Linked DNA regions of Cricetulus griseus. The protein of the gene in region 2 binds, or shares a complex with, the protein of the main gene of each other region. Links are inferred from orthologs where the notes say so. Each region holds a gene or a part of one and is shown on either strand. Other genes may lie near its edges.

The links. Proteins that work in one complex are often made in the same cells at the same time.
Region 1: Tada2a (region 2) and Mbip share a complex: the UniProt entries of both Homo sapiens proteins name them as parts of the ADA2A-containing complex. The link is inferred for Cricetulus griseus from reciprocal best matches to the Homo sapiens genes TADA2A and MBIP.

The regions. Positions count from the first base shown.
Region 1 is NC_048598.1:146,083,207-146,091,282, forward strand, and holds the start of Mbip (MAP3K12-binding inhibitory protein 1), read left to right. Parts: upstream 1-3,061; 5' UTR 3,062-3,124; coding exon 3,125-3,253; intron 3,254-6,643; coding exon 6,644-6,763; intron 6,764-8,076. UniProt on the Homo sapiens protein: Inhibits the MAP3K12 activity to induce the activation of the JNK/SAPK pathway. Component of the ATAC complex, a complex with histone acetyltransferase activity on histones H3 and H4.
Region 2 is NC_048600.1:97,365,362-97,372,734, reverse strand, and holds part of Tada2a (transcriptional adapter 2-alpha), read left to right. Parts: intron 1-844; coding exon 845-936; intron 937-4,233; coding exon 4,234-4,391; intron 4,392-6,683; coding exon 6,684-6,772; intron 6,773-7,373. UniProt on the Homo sapiens protein: Component of the ATAC complex, a complex with histone acetyltransferase activity on histones H3 and H4. Required for the function of some acidic activation domains, which activate transcription from a distant site. Binds double-stranded DNA.

The DNA.
Region 1 (8,076 bases), on a different chromosome or scaffold from region 2:
GGCAAATCACGATCTAAATATAAAAACACTAACTTCAGAAATAAGCATGTCACAGTTAAAAATTGTAAGCGATGCTGAGAAATGTGATGAAGTTTATATAATCCAGATCTATACATGTATTCTATGTGAATCCATTTGTCCAATGTATCCGAGGCATATATGCTATTTACTCACTACTCACTTTCAGCTGTCTCAGTCATCAGAGCTTCCAGGGTATCAGAGTGCTTATGTTCAACTTAACAGCCACCAAAAAGCATAAGAGTAATGACACTAGCAATCTGAATATGCCAAACAAACTGTGACATACTTTCCCTAAGTGAAAAGATGGAAGCTCTCAGTAAGGCAAGAATAAAGTCTATATATGCTGAGGTTGCTACCATCTATGGTAGCAATTAAATATAATATAAATAGAGTTTGTTTGGTACTGTTCACTGCTTCAGGCATCCACTGAAAGTTGTAGAATATACCTGCCTCACATAGAAAGGAAAACTATTGAGCAACTACTCTATGCCAAAAACTGTGCAACAATATGAAATAGTACAGTAGTGAGAAAAACCTGATAATGTTTTTCTAAGGAAATTGGACCTGCCCAGCAGATGATGCAGAGACAGGGGCAACGAATATCTTATTTAATTTTCTGCATTAGAAAAATATTGTATATTATATATTTTTTAAAACACGATACCTTGGGCATTTTTATGTCATGGAGTCAGTCATGCCTTCAAAGCTCATTGTAAAAGGCATTTTTGTTGATAAGGGAGATAGCCTAGATTTCATTTCTAATTTCTATCTTCTCAATTGCTTCTTGGCATAAGCTTGCAGGACAGTACTCTAACTCTGTTGCTAATGCCAACGTCAACACTTTGAAGCATTTCTGCTGAGCAGCCGATTTTTCAGAACCCACTTCATAAACTGCAATTAGTTTTCTATAAAGGGCAAATTATTCCCTTTTTAAATTTCAGCATTTATTATACGTTTGCTATACATTAGCATCTATACATTTCTGTCTGCAGTTAGCCCAAGGGAATCCACATCTTTTTGTCCTATAAAGCCTTCTACTTAAAATAGAAGTTTTTATTATAAAAGAAGAAAAATGTCTGAAATGAACTCAGTGGGCATCAGGAAGGAATACAAGATGTCAAGACAGAAGACATAATACATGGAGGAACTAAGTCCTAAGAATTATCTAAGCAAGCAATAATAAAATACAGGTGCAGGTCTGGATTTAACAGAATTATTAGATAATTGATAGATAAATAAAATGGCCATTAGCTATTCTTATATTAGGGGTTCAAGAAATCAAGCAAGGGGCAGGGTGTGGTGCTGCATGCTTTTATTCCCAGCACTTGGGAGGCAGAGGCAGGTGGATCTCTGAGTCTGAGGTCAACCTGGTCTAGACAGAAGGTTCCAGGACAGTGATGACTACAGGGAGGGAGGGAAGAAGAGAGTGAAGGAGAGAGACAAGGAGGGAGAGAGAGAGGGGAGAGGGAGGAAGGAAGGAGGGAGGGAGGGAAGGAGGGAGGCAGGGAGAGAGGAGGAGAGGGAGGGGAGGCAGGCAGGGAGGGAGGGAGACAGTTCAGTGGTTAAGAATGCAACTGTTCTTGTAGAGGACTGAAGTGTGAGACTCAACACCAATGCCTGGCTAGCTGTTCATATCCCCTGCTTCTAATCTCTTTGGGCACCTACACACACACACACACACACACACACACACACACACACAACTAAAAAAATTGTGAAACTAAAAGCTTGGGTTTCAAAATCAGTTATGACAAAGAAAAGAATGGGCAGTACCTTAATCACTCTCAAAATGTGTAATAAAAGTCCTCTATTGCCTAAAAAATCCAAAGATCATTACTTGGTATAGAACAAGGACTCTTAGATTCCACATTACAATTATCCCCCATTAACAAGTGAATCAGAGACAAAAATGTGCTAACATTACAACAAATTGTGAATTTCTTTTAGTTATAAGGACAAGTGACTGGAATGAGAGGGTTGCTTGATTTGAGTTTCAATCTCTGTCACCAAACAGGTGTTCTACCGGCTTCAGATCTTACTGCTAGCAAGGACACAGACAAGCTTTCTTGCTATGTCTGATGATCCCAGACATCTTTGGAAATAACTGAGTAAAAGGCTCTGTAGAGACAGGTCAAAGGAGTGCTTTCATTTTTACTATCCTTATCCCGGTGTCCCTTGGTTCCTTATTTCTTCCTTCATTCAGCTTCTTCTCAACTCTATAGAATACACTTTAGGTCCATACCTCTACTTCCTGTATACTAGCCCTGGCTGTCCTGCAACATGGTCAGTAGACCAAGCTTATCTCTTAAGCTTGTTTTAAAATTTTAACAGAATTCTACATTATAAAATTATAACTCTTTCGTTATAATAAAGCTATCTAATAATACCCGGCAAGTGTCGATTTAGTTTTCTATCTCAATTTCGACTAATATGAAATTAGTTGGTTTAAAGTTCTATTGGATTTATTTGAAACAATTTTAGGATTGAGTGTCCATTGAGTGTCCACTGAGAAACTGTTGCATTAGAAACTTGACAAACTATTTTACAGTTATAGTCATCAATGTCGTTTCCTGACAAAGGAGGCATAATGTAGGCTTTTCAGTTTTTCTTACATTCTTCGCGTCAAACAACCCTGTAGAGATGAAAATGTTCTATCCAGTTATGATCATCCTGGGTATGAATTTTCCAGTATTCAGACACGTGAGCCCCGTTCCATCGCTGACCCTCAACCTTGTCCCAACTCCAAGTCGCCATGTTAACATTTTAAATTTTAATAGAGGGACTCAATTTCTAACACTTAACAGTAAGGCTCTTCCGGCACTCACGGGGAGCGTCTAAGAGCCAAGGTAGACTTCTAAGCCATAGCCACCCACGCAAAACATCACCAAACAGAGGGTCCGCCTGCGCTACACAGAACCTCCGAGTTCAGACGCCTTGCTCTTGATTGGTCTCGGTGCCTGTCTGTCACATAGAGAGAGTGGGGCCTACCCTCACATCCAAATAAGACGCGGTAGTTTTACGTCATCTCAGCGCGACGGAATCCGCGCGGGAGGGGAGGGGGCGAGCCGTCTTGGCCGCGCTTGGGGGCTGCTGCGAAGGTGTCATGGCTGCTGCTGCGGAGCCCAGTGCCTCAAGCTGCAGCGAGAGGAACCTGGAGCGAAGCTCCAGCCCCCTTCTCACCCGCGAGGTGCTCTGCGAGCTCTTTCGTTCCCTGCACACCCTGACTGGGCAGGTAAGTGAAGGTGCGGCGGGGGTGGGGAGCATCCCGGTCCTCTCTCCGGAGTCCTCCCTCGTCGCGGAGTCCTCCCGCATCGCGTCTGCGGCTAGGATGCCGAGGCCGCGGCCGCCGGGACCGGGAGGAGCGGGAGCCCAGTTGCCTGGGGCCGGGAGCGGCCGGCTGCACACTCGGTGACCACGCGTGAGTACCGAGGGCGAGAGGAAACACGGGTCCTGGCGCCGAACTCTTGCAGAAAATCAATGCATGAGAGATGGCAGGGTTAAGGAGGCTCCTGGAGCTGACTGTGGTTTTTCCTCCCCTGTTTTAATTCGTCGGTTAGTATGGCCTGAAACTTTTCCTACCTCCATCTCCACTCTTTAGGGGGTGATTTACTCTGGGTTTTTATTTGTTTCTCATCATTTATTTGCATCTGTCATACCCTTTGAAACGGTGCGGGGGGCTGTAAGAATTTCTAAAATATAACTAACTTGTAATGTGCCTAGATTTTAGTGTAAATTGTTGGATGATTTGAATGTATGACCAGCTCTACCGTCTTTACTAGTGTCGTGTGACTATTAACTAATCGCTCTTACAGAAATGCCATAGTAAAACTGGATTTTAAAAAGGAGGTTCCTTCACTTTATTAGATAAAGCCATTCATGATATAATGAAGCTTATTTTTAATAAGGAGCAAAAGTATGTTTGCTTGCTTTTAAAAATATTTTATGTCAAACTGTTTCCTAGTTTGATTGGGGGCTGGTCTAGTGCATGTGGTACCTCTGACAATAGGGCATTTACCTGATTTGTGAGAATTATTTTTAAAACCCTTAGATGGATGAATAATTGATCTTGTAAAAAGTTATTTTAGTAAAAATTTTAAAACCTTAGTACGTTTATTTTGCCTGGCAAACTACTTTCATTTGTACATTCAGTTCGGTGTTATGAGGCAGTTAATAGTGGTCTTCTAAAATTAAAACTTTAAAATCAATTGTTTAATGAGCATTAGTAAATTTTTTCCCAAGTCTTAAAGACTTTGTTTAAATTAACATTTCAGTGATAATATTCCAGATCTTTAAATAGTTCAAAAGTCAAAGAACTTTTTGGCATGGATTTGGAACTTAAAGACTTAATCATTAATATTCTAATGTCCAGATGAGAAAAATATTCTCAGCCTTTGTGTTTAGAAGTTGCAAAAATAATGTACATTGATAAATGATTTGAACATCTAAAGTATTCTGCATATTGATTTTTTCAAAGTTATATAAATTTATACCAAAGGTTCAAATGGAAAAAACGATTCAATCTTAACTTATGCCACCTGCCAACAAATGTAACATAGTTAAAGGGACCTTTATACAAGTGTCAATATAAGATTTTTTTTAAATCAATTAAATGCTGTTTTAGTATTATTGTGTATTTTGAGATTATGATTTAAGCCATACACACATGTAAGTTGCCCCTAGGCAACTTGTGTCCTTTTGCAACAAATTAAAAGGATTTTTAAGATGTAAATTGTAATTATTAGTTCATTGTAAATATCATTGAATTATTAGTGCTTTTCAAAAGAAAGTATAAAACTGAATTGTAAAAAGTATTTTTTTCTCCAAATGCAAAATACACTTACATTAACCTTTTTTCTTTCCTCTCATTGGCCCATGTTATCAAGCTAAAGATTTGTTAGCTTGTTTTTTTTTTTTTTTTTTTTTGTATTAGTTTCTACTGAACATTCATAACTGATTAATCTAGTGTATTAATAGAAAAATTTGAATGTCAAGAGCTATGGGGTAAAATGCATAAAGGAATTTGCTGAATGAAAAATTGGATGTATTTGGGGGTCATTTTTGAATTATGACATTATTGTTTGATTTTTCATGGAAGACCAACTATCTTGAGTTGCCTTTGAAGACTTACATAATTCTGCTGAATTGACATAGAATATTATCCAGCCATTAAGATTTCTTTTCTATAGTTATTTTCTTTAAAGAATGTGATGCTTTCCTCAGGTTTAAAGATTACTTGTTTTTTTTATTCTTCAAGCCATTTAAATTTGCCATAGTCAACTGTATGTCTCTTGGAGAACTGTAAACACATGCTGATGGATTGCTTTCATACACATTATTAAATACAGTAATCTTATTAATCTTAATGTCAAATCTTAACTTAGTTGTAAGCTTATCTTTGCCAGTATAGTCTATGTAAAATTTCATATTTCTTTATGTCTGTCAAATAAGGACTTGAAATGGTTCTGGTCTCAGCAGTAAATGTTTGTATCCATTGTACACGAAAGTGCTTACTTTGGGAACTTGGGATTTCTTTGGTTCCGTAGACAGTGATTCACGTTTTGGTTTTTTATTTTTAACAACTCATTAGATTGATAGTTGAATTCATGAAACGTGTATCTTTACTTTGTGGAAAATATGACTAGTTGCCAATAAATTATTCTTGCAAAATACAGTTAACTTCCTTCCACTATGCGGTATGTACTTATACAATGTACTTATACAATAGGTGTCCTTAGAAAAGTTTATAGGGATTCCTTCATACTCAGTCAGTGATTACAGGTGGAGCTTCTCCTCTCCCACTAAAGTTTTGACTGATTTTGATATTAATTTTATATTCAGGTTCTTGGTATTTTCTAGGTGTAATTTTCTAGGTATAATCACCACTAGGTGATGAGAAATTTTCATGTAATGAGACTTATATTTTACTAAAAAAAAATCCTTAGTAAACACACTGGACACAGTTCTGTCAATCTGTTATACTGCTGTAGAAACATACTTGTTTTTCAGCTCAACAATTTCATAACTAATACTTTGATTATTATTTGAATTAGTTACTGTCATCTATCACTATGTGTGAATAATCTTGAGTTTTAAGTATTTTTAAAAATTGGTTAGATTTGAAAACAATGAAAGTGAGAACACATTGAGGTAATGAATATTTTAGGCATGTGTTTATGTTATAAGTAACAAAGAGAATTCACTTTCTGGAACTTCTGTAAAGCAACTTATGCTTCCTCTGTTGAATGCTTAGTTGGAATTAAGGATTTATTCCAACTAGGGCGGACCTATATTTGGACACCTTCCAAAAGTATTTTAGATATCCAAGTATCAAAAGAGGTTCCATCTTTTTATCTTTCATGGGTGGCTTCTCAAAGATGGCTCAATTATATAAATATAGGAACAGAATTAGAATATTAAGATGCTTTATTCATTTTTTTTCTAAGCTGCATCTTTGATTTTTAAAATGGCAACCAGGTAAAGCATTCTATTATGTCATTGAAACTTAGTAACTTTGAGCAAAATAGGCATGCATTACTCCATAGATATCTTATTTTTGTGATAATCCCATATATACAGCCTAATCGTGTAATTTTTGTGATGTTGCTGGTCTGTCCCTTTGAAGCTTAACCTCAGAGATGATGTGGTGAAAATTACAATCGATTGGAACAGGCTTCAGAGCCTCTCAGCATCCCAGCCTGCATTGCTCCTTACAGCACTTGAACAACACGTTTTGTATTTACAGGTAAATTTCATATTAGAAATGTTTGCTGGGATATTGAAAATAGAAATTAATTATAGTTAAATTAGTTGCAGTATTTGTCAGTTCTGCCTCAACACTCTATTAGTGTTAGTAGTGTTATTAATAAAAAAGGTTACTTAAATCTATATTGAGTCTAGGTCTGTTCATTTCACTAGTGATCCAGATAGTTATGAAAATAAAACCCAATAGGCCAATGTGGGTATGAAATTGAATAAATGAAATTCTATTCAATTCTAGGCTTTGCTGAAAATTCAATACAGTTCATCTATGGTGGGTTATAATTAAGCAATAAGACACGGCAGGTGTGAGTCATGCTATGATAATGATTCCATGCCTTGGGTGAGTTTGGAGGCTCATGGAGTGCTTTCAGTGGTTCAAGAAGTGGCATTATCCCAGCATGACACATCCTGGAGTATCTATTGCAATTAAACAGTTTCAGCATAGTTTTTAAAAAGAAAGTAATTTCTGTGACATTAATGTTTCATCTTAGTGAGTAGCCAGTCACTATTTCCTCTTAATAATTTGAAATAATTTATCCTTGATATTGGAAGTCAATATTGAATTATTTATAATAGTATTGTTACATTTTTTAATATTTCAGTTTAAGAAATGAACAGTGTTATGACCTTGCTGGTTGTTGTTGAACATCTCTGCAAGTGTAATTGATGTGAGTTGCAGATTTTCTCTAATCAAAGTGAAATGTGAAGCCTCAAGGATGAGCAGAACTGTTTTTTCATGGTGGCTTTACTATGTTTTAGATGTCATAAGGTTTCAGAAGAGTTTTGCCATAGCAAGCAATGAAAACAAAATTGTATGAAAAGATGATCGGGATATTGTTTAGAAGTAGTGTGTTAATTTTCAGTCCTGCATTGATCGACTTTCTGAGAATGTTTAACCATGTTTCATGATAAAAATAACAGTTAAAAGTTTGTTTAAAGGGCAGGTGATGAGCTATAGAATTCAGATGTGGACCTTGTTGGGGTGGGTTGGCTAGGAAGAACAGAAGTGAATTTCCATTATGAAGAAGCTTTTTTTTTTTTTTTTAAACCCACTCTTAGTTAGAATGACCTGCTGCCTGCTAGGGGTCTTTGTGCCATGTTTTGTTTGTTTTGTTTCATTGTTTTCTCCCATTGTTCATTTTCTTTTGAAAAATTTCATTTCCTGACCCAATGAGATATCTTGCTATGTCAGAAACAGGCTGAATGTTCACTTAGTGTAACACCTATATACTTCATATCCATGCTGTCTCATTCATTCTGGCCAACTGCACTTTCAAGTGGAGAATCTCCAGATAT
Region 2 (7,373 bases):
CTATTGGCCAAACAGTGTTTTAACCATTAACCAATAAGAGAAACATATACAGAAGGACATCCCTCATCAGGGTTCCTTTTTTTCCCTCTTGTTTTGTTTTTTGAGATAGGGTCTCTATATGTAACCCTAGCTGTCCTAGAACTCAATATGTAGGCCAGACTGGCCTAGAACTTATAGAGATCCACCTGCCTCTGCCTCCCAAAAGCTGGGATTGAAGGTGTGTGCCACTATGCCTCTTTTTAAATTGATTTCTTTTTTAATTCTTGTAAGGTGTATTTTTCAGAGAGAGAGAGATAAAGACAGACAGAGAGAGAGAGAGAGAGAGAGAGAGAGAGAGAGAGAGAGAGTGTGTGTGTGATCTGGAAGAGTAGTATGCACTTCTGACTGCTGAACCAATAAATGTTACCATAATTACTGTGTAACACATCCACAAACATTCTTTTCAGAAAAAAATAAATATTGATGTGTTTTACTGGAAAACATTGTAGCTCATAGAGGTAGGTGTGGAAGAGCTAGAAAATAATAGTAAATCCTGAGGAAAATATCTGATAATGATAGTCTTTGTATTGGGGGTACAGTGTATGTTTGTATGTGTGCAACATGTTACACGTGTATGTGTGTGCACCTGTATATGGAGGCCAAAAGTTGACATCAGGTGTCTTTCTTTAAGACTTTCCACCTCATTTTCTGAGACAGTTTGCCTCACTGAACATGAAGTCCCTGCCTGCCTGTCGTGATGTACACTGCCACATGTGGCGTAGTCTTTTTAAACCAAGTACTACAATTGAGGTTCCTGCATTTCACTCCCGTCCCTGTTCTTAACCAAATTTTTTTTTCTCCTTAGACCTCAGACTTTCCTGTTCTTGATCCCAGCTGGACGGCTCAGGAAGAAATGGCCCTTTTAGAAGCTGTAATGGACTGTGGCTTTGGAAATTGGTAAGAGTTTAGTGTTGGGTGTTCCTTTCCTTATGGGCTCAGAAGAGAAACCACTGTGGAAATACAAAAGCAGAGTGCCTCAGAAAGTGAAAAGCTCTGCTGCTTCCCTGATGACGAGGGACTGGGGGGGGGGGCAGTTTCTCATTTGTGTAAACTTCTTCTAGGCCTGAAATACCTTCAGAATACAGGATGTTTAGTGGCTCATAACTGAACAGTTCTCAGTGTTACTTTGGATCATCAACACCAAGATTGTTCTTCCTGAGTTGTGGAGAAGTATAGGCTGCTAATTGTTTCTCCCTTCTGGTTTTTATAGATTTATGAGTACACAATACAGCTTTAAGTGTGTATGCACTTGTTAGGGCTTGAGGGTGTGAGTTTGCTTTTCCACCCCCTCCACCCGTGTGTGTGTGTGTGTGTGTGTGTGTGTGTGTGTGTGTGTGTGTAGTGGCTGGAGATTGATATCAAATGTCGTCCTCGATTATGCTGTCCGTGTTATTTTTTGAGACAAAGTCTCTCACTTAATCTGGAGGTTAATCTCCCAGATTTTATAATTTAGGAACACTCCTGCTAATAATTCTGTTTTGTGAACTAGACAGCAGAGATCTTATTAAACATATTCTTTGTTCATGAAGCTTCTGAATCTTAGGGAGTTAAATTCTTTCTTGTTTTTCATAACTTGGTAGTGAAGGAACCTCCTGGGTCTTCGCTGGTTGCTAGTGCTCCTAGTACTTTCTTGTGTCATTAGGAGGGCTGCCCTCCTTATGTCCAGGGTCAAGTGACAGACCAGAGCTCAGCTCATATTTTGTTTCCATTTATTTAGCACCTACACATCATGAAAACACTGTATGTGTAGAGAGTACCAGGGACCACTTGTGAGCAGTTTATAAGTCATCTTTGCCTGAGACTTTACTTTTTCTCTAAAGTGGGCCAGTCCCTCTCATCTTCTTTCCCTCTTAGCAAAGACTAAGGAAACGTCTGTTACTGGGTGGGAAAGATAGATAGCTGAGTGTTAGAGCTTTTGCTCAGGATGTGTGAGGTATTTGGGTTCAATCCCCATCACCACCCAGGATAATCTAGTTACTTCTGTATTCAGTGTGGATAAGGGACTTGGCTTGATGGTAAGAGCACAAAAATTTAGGTTCCTATCTTCACATGGGCTCTTTACCTATTAAGGGAATCAAACTGTCTACATTTGACTGATGTACACAGCATCATGGTGATGCCCTAGGAAAGGGTTCTGTAAGAGTGAGCTTGAGCTGGGCGCACGCCTTTAATCCCAGCACTCAGGAGGCAGAGGCAGGCGGATCTCTGTGAGTTCGAGGCCAGCCTGGTCTCCAGAGCGAGTGCCAGGATAGGCTCCTAAGCTACCCAGAGAAACCCTGTCTCGGGGAAAAAAAAAAAAAAGAGTGAGCTTGCAGAGGGGACTGAGAGATTTTACCTCTACCTCTGCATCACCTAAGGTAGGAGTCATCAATCTCAGTATAAATTCTGGCTTTGTCTTCCTTAGCAAGTATATTACCTCTTAGGTATCATATGTTTTTTATTCTGTGAAATAAAAATAATAATATACTACTAAGGTGATCTTACATTATGTCTGAGTATTTGTTATCTCAATGTCTTGCATATCCATAGGAATTCTAGTGAAGAAATGTCTGCTCATGACATGTGTTTTGTATGCTATAAGACATGCAGAAATAAAACTAGATTTATATACTTTTTTAGACAGAGTCTCACCATGTAGCCCTGGCTGGCCTGGAATTCTGTGTAAACCAAGCTAGCCTCAATTTTACAGAAATTCACCTGCGTCTAACCTCCAAGTGCTGGGATTGAAGGTGTGTGCCACCATGCCTGGCACATTTGTACATTTTGTATGTTCCAAGATGGTTTCTATTGTTACTGATGATCTTTAAGGGCTTATTTATTTATTTATTTATTTATTTATTTAAAGATTTTATTTATTATGTATACAACATTCTGCTTCCATGTATATCTGCACACCAGAAGAGGGCACCAGATCTCATAATGGATGGTTGTGAACCACCATGTGGTTGCTGGGAATTGAACTCAGGACCTCTGGAAGAACAGTCGGTGCTCTTAACCTCTGAGCCATCTCTCCAGCCCAAGGGCTTTTTATTTGTTTGTTTGTTTTTTTGTTTGTTTATTAGGTGTGTGTGTGTGTGTCTGTGTGTCTGTGTGTCTGTGTGTCTGTGTGTCTGTGTAAGTGTTTGTCACTCATGCTCACATGCCAAAGAGGCCAGAAAAGGGAGTAAGTGAAGTTGCAGGCACTTACTGACCACTGAAGGAAATATTTTTAACTGCTGAGCCAGCTCTCTAGCCCCCTTAAAAATTTTAAGTCCCATTTATTATGGTGTATGTGATGTGGGCACTACATGTGAAGTACACAGGACAGCTTGCAAGAATTGCTTCTCTCTTCCACATTTTGAAGAGGAGGCTGTTTGGTTTTGTTGGTGGTGGTGGTGGTGGTTTTTTTGGTTTTGTTTTTAGATAGGGTTCTCTCTATGTGGTCCTGGCTGTCCTGGAACTCAGTATATAGACCAGGCTGGCCTGGGTTTCATAGAGATCCTCCAGCCTCTACCTCCCAAGTTCTAAGATTAAAAGCATAAGCCACAACGCCTGACCTCGTTTTATTTTAAAGACACTGTCTCACTCGATAGCCCTGGCTGATATAGAGTGCCTACCTCTACCTCCCTAATGTTGTTATTACAGGCATTGCCACCATTTCCTGACTCCAAGGTGGCTTCTTGTTTATAACGTTTCTTTCTCCGACCTACCTCTGGGAAATTTATAGGTGATGTTGATGATGATATTTGAAACAAGGTTTCATGTGTCTATCTCAGACTGGCCTTTGAACACAATATGCAGCCGAAGATGACCTTGAATTTCTGACACTTCTGCCTCTGCCTCTTTTGTATTGGGATTACAGGTGTATACCACCGTGTCTGGGCTTCATGCATTTTAGGCAAAAGTACTTGGCCAGCTGAGTTACATACCCGGCCTGGAAATTTATGGGTAAAAAATAGTCATCTTCCTTCCAGTGGGAAGGAAAGGTCCCTTTATTGTTTCTCTATCTTGAAGTAGCAAGATTTGAAATATCAGATGGCATGAGTGTCAGTGGTATATCTGTCTCACTGTTGTTTTGCTCACATCTACTTGGAGGTATCAAATTATTGATTTTATGTTGATTTGACTTCGAATATGGAATGAACAAACCAAGCTTTCAGTGGCCTGTATCAGTAAGAAAACTACTCTCTTCGCTCTTTTTCCACATTGTTCTAGGCAGGATGTAGCTAATCAGATGTGCACCAAAACCAAAGAGGAATGTGAGAAGCACTACATGAAGCATTTCATCAATAACCCTCTGTTTGCATCTACCCTGCTAAACCTGAAGCAAGCTGAGGCAGCCAAAACTGCTGACACAGCCATTCCATTTCACTGTAAGTGCCTGCCTAGGTAAGAGGTACTTAGACCATCCTTGGGCTCTGTTTCCATAGCAGATAAACAGTGATATGATGACTTGGACAGATAAAGAGCTTCTGGAAGGTAAGAGGAGTTTGGTATGATACCTGTTGAGTCAGGGCTATGATATGGCAAGAAGGGAGCCCATCCCAGAGGTCAGAGTTGCAGCCTTCTATTCTGGATCTCTTGCAATATATTAGTTAACATTAATTAACAATTGCTTCTGTAAGTTGTTATGTCCAAAAAGGGGCCAATCTATGTTGTCTTTGTTACAAGCCTTCTTATCATCCCTTTGGTAGGAGTTGCTTACCAGGATTCACTATTGCCTCAGTGTTAAGTCCAAGGAGTAATTTGTTCTTTTTATTCACTTAGTTATGGCAGTGAAGGCAATCTTTTTTAATCTGATATGCCTGTGGGGATCAGTGGGTCTTTTAATGCAGTGTAACCAGAATCTGATGAATTAATTACAAACAAGGATCGTCCATGAATGGCCCCAGAACACCAGTAATGTATGCATGCTTTCCTACTGGCCTGCCTTTCCTCACTTCTGGGAAACAGCTTTGTAGCTGATGACCTCAGAGGTTGCTGATACCTCCTACTTGGATAGCACTCTGGATGTTAGCACTTTCCTCCATTCCATTAGGCCTGTTTTTTATGAACAGCAACCCAGTGAAATAATCAGAGTGGGTGCTTTTGTGTTACACACAAGGAAACTGAGATTTTAAAAGGTTGAACAATTTGTACAAAGTTGTAGAACTGTTGTAGGCTGGCACTGGGACCCAGTTTGATTAACTTCAAAATCCAGGATGCTTTTGCTTCTTGGTTGGATGAGATCTGTAAGTTGGTAGTGGTCCTAAAGATCAAAGGAGCAGGGCACTGACAGGATACTTAAGTTCTATACATTGAAGGAAAATAGCTTTGTTTCATTTTTCAATCATTTTGGGAAAACAAAAATCAGAGGGCAAGGCTACAGGATGGCTCAGCAGGCAAGGCACCTGCCATCAAGCCTGACCTAAATTCACTCCCTGGCACTCACATGGTGGAAGGAGAGAACGGACTTCTGCAACTTGTCCTCTGACCTCTGCATGCATGTCATTGCACATGCCTGCCTGCACAAACACATGCAGATCAGAGGACGTTTTCTTCATTAGGAAATCAGTCTGGGATTTGGTGTGCATAGTAGCATAGGACTATAACCCCATGATTGCCACTTGGGAAGCTGAGACATGAGGATTGGGAGGTTGGGAGTAGTGTAGGATATATAATGAAACCTCTGTCTCAGCACAAAATAAAAACACCACCAGCACTTGGGAGGCAGAGGCAGGTAGATCTCTGAGTTCAAAATCAGCCTAGTCCACATAGCGAGTGACAGCCAGAGCTACATAGAGAGAAGACTCTATCCCCCCATTCCCCCCAAAAAGACAAAAGAAGCTGTTGTATTTTTTTCCGCAATTACTTTTCATTCTTTATAAAACTTTTGTATTTATTCTTAGATCCTTTTTCTCAAAGAAATGTTTCAGAGTTGCATGTGATGCCTGACACTTGTAACCCAGCAGCCTGAGGCAAGAGAATTATAAGAGTCTGAGGCCACCCTCAGCTATTTAGTGATACCCTGCCCTCATATGTTTTGGCCTTGCCTTGAACTCATTGTGTAGTTAAGTGTGCCTTGATCTGATCTTCCCGCTTTTGCCTCTTAGGTGCTAGGATAAAGGCATGTGCCTTCATACTCTGAGAAACTCTGTTTTGTTTTTGTTGTTATTGTTAGTTTTTGGTTTGTTTGTTTTTTGTGGGGGGGGGTTGTTTGTTGAATTAGCAAGTCTTTTCATTGACCATCACCTCACAAATAACAACACAGAAACTTATTAATTATGAAGGCTTGGCCTTTAGCTTAGGCTTGTCTCAACTAGCTGTTATAACTTAAATTAACCATTTATATTAATCTATGTTCTGCCACATGGCTTTACCTCTCTTCCATCTTGCACCTCCTATTTCCTCCCCGTGTCTGGCTGTCGACCAGGCCCTTCTTCTTCACAGAGTCTGTCCCTGTAAATCCTGCCTAACCTCTTCCTGTCTAGCTATTGGTCATTCAGCTTTTTATTAAGCCAATCAGAAGACACCTTGCCTTGGCAAAAACATATCTTCACAGTGTAAGCAAATATTCACCAACAGTTTGTTTTTGTTTTTAAATCCAAACTATAAATAAAGACATTTATTTGACATTTTAATATCAGTGTTTTATTTATTAAAAAAAAACCCATTGTTTGTTCCAGCTGCAGATGACCCTCCCCGGCCTGCTTTTGACTCATTGTTGTCTCGGGACATGGCAGGATACATGCCAGCTCGGGCAGATTTCATTGAGGTAATAAAAACTTGTTTTTAGTATACAATAAGGAAAAACTACTTTTGTTTCCAATGAGGTTATTATCTCTTATGAAAGGAAGATTTTTCAAGGCACTGTCATTTCCAGGTCTTTCCTTTTCCCATTGTGACCACCTGTGGAGGGAGCAGTGACAGTTTTGAAGGGGAACCAGCCTCCTAGGGTGCAGTTGTATTGCTCCCACCATCTTTGTAGGTGTGAAATTTCTGCAGTTGTCATTCCATAGCAAGGGGTTTTCAAGCTTGTGCTATATCAGGGCCAGGTTACATTTTTTACATTTTTAAAATTATTAAGTTTCTGTTGCAACCAAACTTGACTGTTATTGTGTAAAAATAGCACAGAAACATGAGTTTTAGTTTTAGATAAGCCTGGGCTGTGTAATGTGAGCCTGTCTAAAAAAAAGAAGAAAAAGAAAGAAAGGAAGGAAGAAAGAAAGGGAGCATAGATAATATGTAAACAAATGGATATGTCTGTTTTCCAATAAAAGTTTATTTCCCAAGTAGGCAGTAAGGAGTGGTTGCTGAGTCCCGAATTGTATGTATGCATGTGTCCATTAAAACTATTTCATTGGGCTGGAGAGATG